2 linked regions of the Arabidopsis thaliana genome follow. The protein of the gene in region 2 binds, or shares a complex with, the protein of the main gene of each other region. Each region holds a gene or a part of one and is shown on either strand. Other genes may lie near its edges.

What was found. Proteins that work in one complex are often made in the same cells at the same time.
Region 1: WIP3 (region 2) and SUN2 share a complex: the UniProt entries of both Arabidopsis thaliana proteins name them as parts of the LINC complex.

What each region holds. Positions count from the first base shown.
Region 1 is NC_003074.8:3,357,733-3,362,277, forward strand, and holds SUN2 (SAD1/UNC-84 domain protein 2), read right to left. Parts: upstream 2,971-4,545; 5' UTR 2,791-2,970; coding exon 1,711-2,790; intron 1,112-1,710; coding exon 824-1,111; 3' UTR 556-823; downstream 1-555. Other genes in the region: ASD1 (alpha-L-arabinofuranosidase 1), read right to left, coding at 3,299-3,457, 3,540-3,686, 3,762-3,951, 4,032-4,088, 4,170-4,273, 4,363-4,434, 4,521-4,545. UniProt on the Arabidopsis thaliana protein: Component of SUN-protein-containing multivariate complexes also called LINC complexes which link the nucleoskeleton and cytoskeleton by providing versatile outer nuclear membrane attachment sites for cytoskeletal filaments.
Region 2 is NC_003074.8:4,337,731-4,342,217, forward strand, and holds WIP3 (WPP domain interacting protein 3), read right to left. Parts: upstream 2,717-4,487; 5' UTR 2,707-2,716; coding exon 2,532-2,706; intron 2,255-2,531; coding exon 1,385-2,254; intron 1,254-1,384; coding exon 742-1,253; 3' UTR 556-741; downstream 1-555. Other genes in the region: AT3G13350 (HMG (high mobility group) box protein with ARID/BRIGHT DNA-binding domain-containing protein), read right to left, coding at 1-74; AT3G13370 (formin-like protein), read left to right, coding at 3,934-4,487. UniProt on the Arabidopsis thaliana protein: Mediates and enhances the nuclear envelope docking of RANGAP proteins mediated by WIT1 and WIT2 in the undifferentiated cells of root tips.

The DNA of each region.
Region 1 (4,545 bases), 980 kb from region 2:
TAATAATTAAGGGTTATACTCGTTTTGGTCAAATGAAGAGTTTTTTTGGAGCCGGTGGTCCACCGTCACGACGACCAAACATGGGTTGACTTGGTTAGGAAAGGTTTCTTCATGTGATTTAACCGTAAAAAATGGCTATTTTTAGAGCTTAATTTTGTTTAGCTCAATTTGTTATGCCAGTTGACACTGTAAAAAATTAACATTAATCAGACATGTCAAAGATGAATTTGTATTTAATTTAATTTATAATCAAACAAGCTGTGTTGACTTGGAAGAGGGTTTCATATCTATTATTTGACCGTAGATTTTGCATGTGATGTGTTGGGAAGCTTTTAGACAAGGCAAGACGGTGCAGCCTAGAAGAAGAAGTCGTCACTTTGTCGATTACGCAATTCACACTAACAAGTTATGGTCCATCTATATACACACTCTTCCTATTCATCACATATCGTTGTAATACCAAGTACCCAAGGTAACCATTAATAATCCAAATTCAATATTTGTTTCAACTAATGAAATATGTATACTCTATTAGAATTTGTATGATTTGTTTTAGGTGAAAGCTTAAATTGAAACTCTGTTACAAAACCAAAACCGGACATCAAACTAAGATCTATATTATTCAATTCGGAGGATACATACCCTGACCAAATAAACCGAACCAAAACAGATTTGAAGCTAATAATCACGAATACAACCAAATGATTCTGATTACAGACTAAGAGAAGCTTTCCCACCACATAAACTAACACAAAAAAAGAAGAGAGATATCTATTAGAGGGAATGTTACAAAGAGAAGAAAAGTTTGACGTGGACTTTCAGATCAAGCATGAGCAACAGAGACTGAGTCTAGTTCACGGCCATGAACCCTGAAGCGGTAGATGCAAGTGTGTGAAGAGCTTCCATGGTTGGAATTGAAGTCTAGCCTGACAGTGTTGACAAGTCCTGAGTGAGCAGAGTCTGCAATGTCGAATGTCTGTGCATTGGACCTGTCTAAGTCGTAACTGAATTCTGTAAGAAGGGGCATTGTCTCAGTCTCCATATCTATGTCACCTAGCCATCCTGATACACGGCAATCCTTTGGGGCGCTCGATCTGTCATATGCTACAGCCTGTTCGATTAAATGGTGCATAACATAACCGTAAGATTAGTATTGCCTTTTAGTGGTCAGACAAGAAGAAATTTATCAGACAAATGATCACAAGGATGAACAATGATGGAAAGCAATGTGTGACCATCACATTACACACTCTTGAGACTATTTCCCTTCAGCTACTGTTTCCTAAGGATATCCGTAAACAGTGAATATTACAGTTCCACTAATTGTAAACTTACAAGCTCTTCCCATACATACGGTTCTTTTCTCTGTCAACGATGTCCCAAACAAAGCACAACAACACAGTGGCATTGATATTAGACAAAGGAACTGCTAAAGCTAGTGATTTGCAGAAAATAACAATAGGTAAAATCCTCCTCAATGCATATTGTCACAGCTAGTGCCTAAACTAAACCTCAAACTATAAGAACTCAAATTCACAAAACTAGTTTCTTGCCCTCTATTCGATAACCTATTGTCACCAGCAATCCAATCCGAAGTACAGGGCATCTCAATACCAACAACATTTAACAGAGAACCCTTCTTGAAGGCTCAAATTAACATATAAAAATCAATCATTTTGTGAAAGTTTAGTATTGAGATGTTAGTACTACCTTAGAGACATGTTCCAAAGTAACAGCTTCTGGAATTATTGGTGCTCTTAGCCTGACTAGAACATATCCATTGCTTCCTTTCAGAGGAAAACACTGTCCAGGCTCCCCGAAACTCGGAGTTAACATCTTAACCGCTTTGCTATGAACCCGTCTCCTGCTTGTCCCAAACCAATTACGCCCATTTCCAACAAGAAACGGATCCGAATGCCCCATTACAAAAGCTCCACCAGACGCTAACGCATAATCTACTCGACCAAGGCCATCTGCAACATGTTTCCCTATCTCTTTCTCCACTATGTCACGAGCATAAGCCCTCAGTTTATCAATGTTAACATCAGAATCACCGACCTTACCCTTCTTCAACTCCTCGTAAACTCTCTCTAACTCCTCTCTAGACACCAAAGGTTTAGCATTTAACTCATCTACAGAAACCTGTAACCTCTCTGTCTTAGACTCTACCTTCTTCAACTCACTATGTAACACAGAAGATGTGGAATCTATCGTCTGCCTCAATGCTCTTGATTCACTATCCATCTTCTTATCAAGAAACTCAACTTGAACCTGCATCATCTTCGTCGTAGTCTTCACCAAACCATCAACTGCAGAAATCCGACTCTCCAATTCCGAAAGCACCATTTCCGTTTCAATTGGGAAATTCGAAGAAGACAGAGACGAATCCTTCAAAGTCAATTTCCTAATCAACTGAATCAATCCAACAAGTAACAAAAGAGCCCCAAATTGCTTCGCGAATACCCTAACCACTGTCTTCCATTTCCCTCTATCTATCTTATTCCCCTGAGACTTCCGCGTCCGACGCTGCGTGGTGGTTGTATTAGTCCCCGTCGCGGTGGATCCTGATTTCCTTGTCACCGGACCTACGTCGTAGGTGTTGGATCTCTCACCGGCAGCCTCGGCGCGAATCAGATCCTTGTTCGTACCAGCAGACGACTCTCCAATTGCCGCATTGGCATGAGATTCGCTCGGCGGGAAATCAAAATTAGATTTCTTCTCACCGGAGAGAACCGGCGTCCGCCTTATTGTCCTAGGACTAGCGGTGATTGACACCGTTGACGCCGACATGATCTTCAATTTTGAACTACAGAATTCGAAATGCTCTTCCTTATGAATAAATAAACCCTAATTTTGACTACAGAGAGAGAGATTTGAAATGGAAGAAGAGTGAGGAAGTTTATATAGGAGAGAGATCACTACAAAATTCAATTTTGAAAATCTGAATCGTGTGTTCTTCAGTTTCGCCATTTTTATTTGTTTTGATGCTCCTCCATTTTTTTCAAAATTCATTATGATGGGCTTTTAAAAGCCCAATAATGGAAATAAAATGGCCCAGCCCACTTTCACGCCTCGTCATCTTCTTTTATGCTAAGAAGAAACTGTTGCTTCATCATTCTTGCATATCAAGATATCTAGAGTCGAGATAAGCTCATGATTAAAGAAAGTAAATTTATTCACCAGACTATTATTATATATACACAAGGGTACGTTATAAGCATTTATGGAATGTAATTAGATTTGAACCACAAAGAGACTTTTGACATGAAAGTTGATACTTCCTTGTCATTGTTTCTCTTCACACAGTGGTAGTTTTCTGATGGGAAGAAGAATCAGAGATTGGCATTCTTATCTTTGCAGATTCCTTCAACAAATCGAATGAAGAAAAGGAATGTGGCGGGAGAACAACGGTCATATCCTCCTCTGCCAACTCTAGCAAGCTTTCATGTGGTACAACCTGCAAATAAAAACCAATAAGAACATGGGAACACTCAGAATTTGTGATGATAATGATGTTTCTTCCATCTCTTGATTTTTACCTTCTCTGGCTGTGAGAAGGAATTTTCATCCATCACATTGGTAGAGGTAAGTACTGTCTTCTTTGATCCCGAAACTCTCATCACGTTCGGGTCCAATCCAGTTACCAACACTTGCATATTTTCTGAGTTAGCTCCGAAGTTTACAGCCTGCAAATAACAGATTTTGAAACAGTTTTTTAGGGTCAATATCAGAGCTCCGGTTGAATCTTTCACTCGGTTTACCTTTATGCGTATGTAATCTTTGCCATTGTTTTTCCAAGAGATAGCAGATGCAACAAGAGAAGTAGAGTTTCCCTTGAGTGTTGAAGTGAGAAGAGTTGCTCCGCTTGACTCTGCAAAAAACCGTTGAACCCAATAGCTAGGTGTTCCATATAGATGAGAGGAGTTGAAGACTATTGCATCAGGGTTCCACCTGAAACCAATTTAACAATTTGAGATTATTGCCTTATCTTCCTGAGTAACCATTCGAACGGAAAAGTAAGTGAGAGATACCGTCTATCATTTGTGTTCACAAAGAGTGGAGCATAACTTGCCATTTCAACAATGTCACTGCAAAAAGTCATAAGATGTTTAACTTATTTGATGTTTTTAGTTGAGATCAAAGCCTGGGAAGAGAAATTCAAAGGGAACCTATTCTTTTCAAGACCAATGAGAAACGCAGCTTCTGCAAGAGAGGCAAGAAGGCTTCCTGTACCAGCATCTTTTCCAGTAACAGCATATTCACTGACAAAAGCCTGTAAACAAAGTTCACGAGTGAGTAAAACGCTGAAAGCTTCATCTTGTGTTTGTTGGAATTAAGTTTTGTTATAATCTATTACCGCACCTTTGGACCTTTGCGTGAAGTGCGATCAAATTGATGATACATGGAAAACAAATTGCTAGCAGAAGTGTAAATCTGTGACAAAAAGGAAACACTTTTTTCAGGCGGAAGAGAGAACACAAGACAACGGTTACAGTTTCTGTCAAGATAGAAAATTTTACGTGATAGTCATAGTAATCAGCTGGG
Region 2 (4,487 bases):
TTGTTGTCAGAAGGATAACCATTAACGGGCTCCACGTGAGTTTGAGAGTAGGGTGGTGAAATATCGGTCGACATCTTTTTTTTCTTATGGCCGTCTTGGTAAAGGTAAGAGCAATTGAGACCACCGTATTTCAGATTTTTATTTTTCTTATAAGATTATAAATTGGGACAAATTGGATAAGGATTAAACGAAATTCACACAAATTTGAATGATTTTATCTTCTGAGATTTTGCCCTAAATCATACAAACTTTTATCTGGGGACTTTAATTTTATGTCCTTTATATTATTTTTAGTCAAGACACCAATTTTAGTTCCTTCCGTTTTCGGCTTAAATTACTTTGATTAGGTTTAAGACGAAACCTGAGAGTCCAAGCCCATAGCATAAGCCTCTGCCCCGATTAAACTACTCCCTACAACAATGGCCTATTGTTTTAAAAACCAGACCGGACCGGTTGATTAACCGAATCTAGATTGAATCAAAAACCAAGATTTAAGTTAAGGTTTTATTACACTCTTGAGTCAAATCACAAAAACCGTCGGCAAACCATTATAACCGGTGATCGGATTCGATATCAAAAATCTAGTTCACAAAATAATAATGTCTCTTTAGTTGTTGATGGGAAATTTAAACATCGTAATTTAACTATAACAATGGGGACAATATCCTTGAGAGACCTTATTTATTACAATCTGGAGAAACAAAAAAAATGTTCGGTAACACAACAAGGAGAAGGAATTTTTCAAGTTGGTATTACTAATCGTGAAGCAGGAGAGAATTGTAGGACGAGAAACCGAAGTATAGAGACGAGCAAGATCAATTGTGTCAAGATATAGAAACCGAGCTTACATGTTTTTCCTAAGATGTTTCCACGGTTTGATACAGGATCTTCTTTCAGAGAATGTAACTTCTTAGTTTCTTGGAGTACTTGTAGTGAACTCAGAGATCTTGTGAGCATCAAATGTTCGATTTCAGTTTCAATCTTTCTCTGGAAGATGCATTCAAGTTCAGATTCAATCTTTGAGTTTTCGAGTTCTTGGATCCTAGCTTCCTTTGCCTCGAGAGCAGCTCTCGCTTCCTCGAGTTTGTGTTCCAGAAGTTTTACCTTCTCCTTCAAGATCAGTGCCTTTGATCCTGAGGATGTTGAGTTATCTTCTTTACAATTTTGATGACTTGGCTGGTCTGAACTCAATTCATCGGTGTTCGAATGTAGTAGTACAGATTCCTTACCTAGCTCCTGGAAACTTTGAACCTCTGCACACGTTTCAATCGCATAGTTAGTTTAGAAATATCATGTAACATTGATAATATAAACATGGGAGCTTTAGGACATGAACATTGAAACAATTCACATGGATATCAAAAATCAAGGTTCGTGTGCAAACCTTTCCAAAGAACTTCCTGCAGAACTGCAAAGCTTCTGATAGAATCTGCAAGTGCGTCTTTATCTGCCCAATGATTGTTGTTTTTCTTACTCTCTCCATCGTCTTCTTTATTCCCGTTTTCGCTTCTGCTATATGTTTGAACTTCCTCCTTAACTTGACCTTCATTGCTAAATCCCCCAATATAATTCATCGTCAATCTCTCATCTTTCTCTCCATGGTTACCAACAGAAACCGAGCCAGTCGAAAACACAAAATCACTACTTCTCAAGTCGGAATCCAAGCTGGAACAAGGCTTCTCCTTCTCGATATCCCCCCGCTCTTCGCTAGCCCTCTTGATGGTATCACTCCAGAGTTTCTCTTGGCTACCTGAAACAACCTTCCCTCCTACTACATTCTTTCCACCTATGGTATTACCACTATGCTCTTCACTTTTCTCAAACGCTTGCCCAACAGCAAACATACAACCTATATCGGGACTAAACCCGTTGGCTACCCCTGGATGATGCACCATATTCACTGACCCAACAGAGCCTTCACTACTCTGCCTTGCTTCAACTGAAGAAAATTCTACATGTTTAGAAGGAGGATTCACCAAACCAGCCAATCCACGTTTCAGTAACTTACTACCATCATCAACAGGAGCAGCCTCATCTCTCACAGGACCATCTCTTTTGATCCGTCTCCATTTCTTCAAACCAAAACCTTTCCTCGTAGAATGTACTGATCCACCAGGAGATTCAACGCTGTTCGATCGTTGAGGTGATCCAACACCTCCTTCCTCATGATCATTATCAGGCAATACTAATAATCCATTTGCAGGGACTGAATTACCGTTGTCTTCCACAGAATCAGGGACTGACTCATTCATGCCTAAATCCATTTCACAACAAAAAAAAAGGTATCAAATTCTCTGTCATCAGAGACACAAATCTGAAAATTTCCAACAGCTAAAGAACTAGATTCAGCTCACTACTTCAAAAGAAAGAACTGATGTATAGTGTTATTCTAACCTCATCTACCGAAACAACAATGAACAAAACTCAATTCACAATTCAACAATCTCATCTAATCAAGTCCAGAAATTTTTTGAAAAAACAAAATTAATGAAAACAGAGAGAAGCGACTCGAATCAATATTTAAAGCGTACCTAAAACAATCCAACGAGAGCTTGCCTGAGTTACAGATGAGCAAGAGAAACAAAATCCTAAAGAATTTAGAGTGCGACGGAGAAATCCGCCGACATTATTACCGGGAGAAGCTGTATCAACGAAAATGATTAAAGTGGACGAAATGATTCTACAGACACAGGAAAAAAAAAACATTAAAGATAAAGAAAGAGAAAAAATAATGAAGATGGTGCGAATCATACGTGGGACCCACATGACATAAACCCAGTGCGCCAAGCTGGCCGTCCGATCTGGAGTACACAACATGTCGGAATTAAAGTGTGTATATGAGCCCAACATGTTGGCCTGATAAGGCCCATTAAAACTAGACTTAAATATTTTCAAAATAATGAAAAGTGTGATTTTTCTATTTTAAAATTTAAAAGATTTATTTGGTATCATATTCAAAAATCAAAATAATGTTTTATGCAGATTTGAACATTTACAAATCATTAAAAAAATCAACTCCTTAAAATGATTTTTTTATCTATTTTTTGTATAAAACAGATTTAAAAAATAAATAAATAAATGCTAATTCTTGAAGTATGGAATTGTTTTATAAATGTAAAATCTCCATTCTGTTGAGGAAATGGGTAAATATTTAATATATTTATATAATTAAAAGTTAGTGAAAACTATTTACAATCTGAAATCTAATTCCAAAACATTTCTGAAAATTTTAGTGAAATTTTAAAATATGGACAGATAAACTGATTCATTAAATATAAATTAAGTATTTTAGTAACATGTAACAAAATGTGATTACCATTTATTTTAAAATTTATTATAGTTATTTTACTTTAGAATCTACAATATCCACAAAATTTATTTTATTTTAATATTGTTAATTGTCAAAATAGTATTTTTACTGATATCTATGAAAATATTTGATTTTGTACTAATAAAATTGAAAATGATAAACTTTGTCATAAGTAACTATTGTATATCATCTATAGTTTAAGACAGTAATTATGATTAGATATATTGTGTTTGAGACAATATTTATTTTTTAACATAATTCATATCATTATTAAACATTATAACAATACATTATATGTTTTGAGTGAATCAATAATCTATTATATATACATACAAATACTCACATTTTTAATATATTGTAAGTTGTAACAATCATTTTCTATCAACAAAAAAAAAGACAACTTCTTCTTCTTCTTTTTTTCTACCAATTTCAATTTTCACATCCCCATTTCCTAGTCCTAAAAAAAACCTCGAATAATGTTGATGCCTCCCACCATGTCTTGTTTGATTCCCAAAATAGTTTTCATATCCCTTATCACTTGTTTTGTGTGTCGTGGACCTTATGCCCATGCAAGAAGTTTGAATCCACCAGTCATGGGAGAAACTAACCCGCTCATAAAAACGATGAAGGTTCCTGTGAATATAATCTACGGAAGTTATAAAAGTGGACCTGATGATTCAGGTAAAGGTCACGATGCACCTTTACCACCAAAGATACCGATGAATATAAATTACGGAGGTTATAAAAGTGGACCTGATGATTCAGGTAAAGGTCACGATACACCTTTACCACCAAAGATACTGATGAATATAAACTACGGAGGTTATAAAAGTGGACCTGATGATTCAGGTAAAGGTCACGATGCACCTTTACCATCAAAGGTACCGATGAATATAATCTACGGAGGTTATAAAAGTGGACCTGATGATTCAGGTAAAGGTCACGATGCACCTTTACCACCAAAGGTACCGATGAATATAATCTACGGAGATTATAAAAGTGCACCATCACCACCAAAGGTATCGATGAATATAATCTATGGAAGTTATAAAAGTCGTCATGATGATTCAGGAAGAGGTCACAATGCACCATCACCACCAAAAATACCCGTTAATATAATCTACGGAGGTTATAAAAGTGGACCTGATGATTCAGGAAAAGGTCACGGTGCACCATC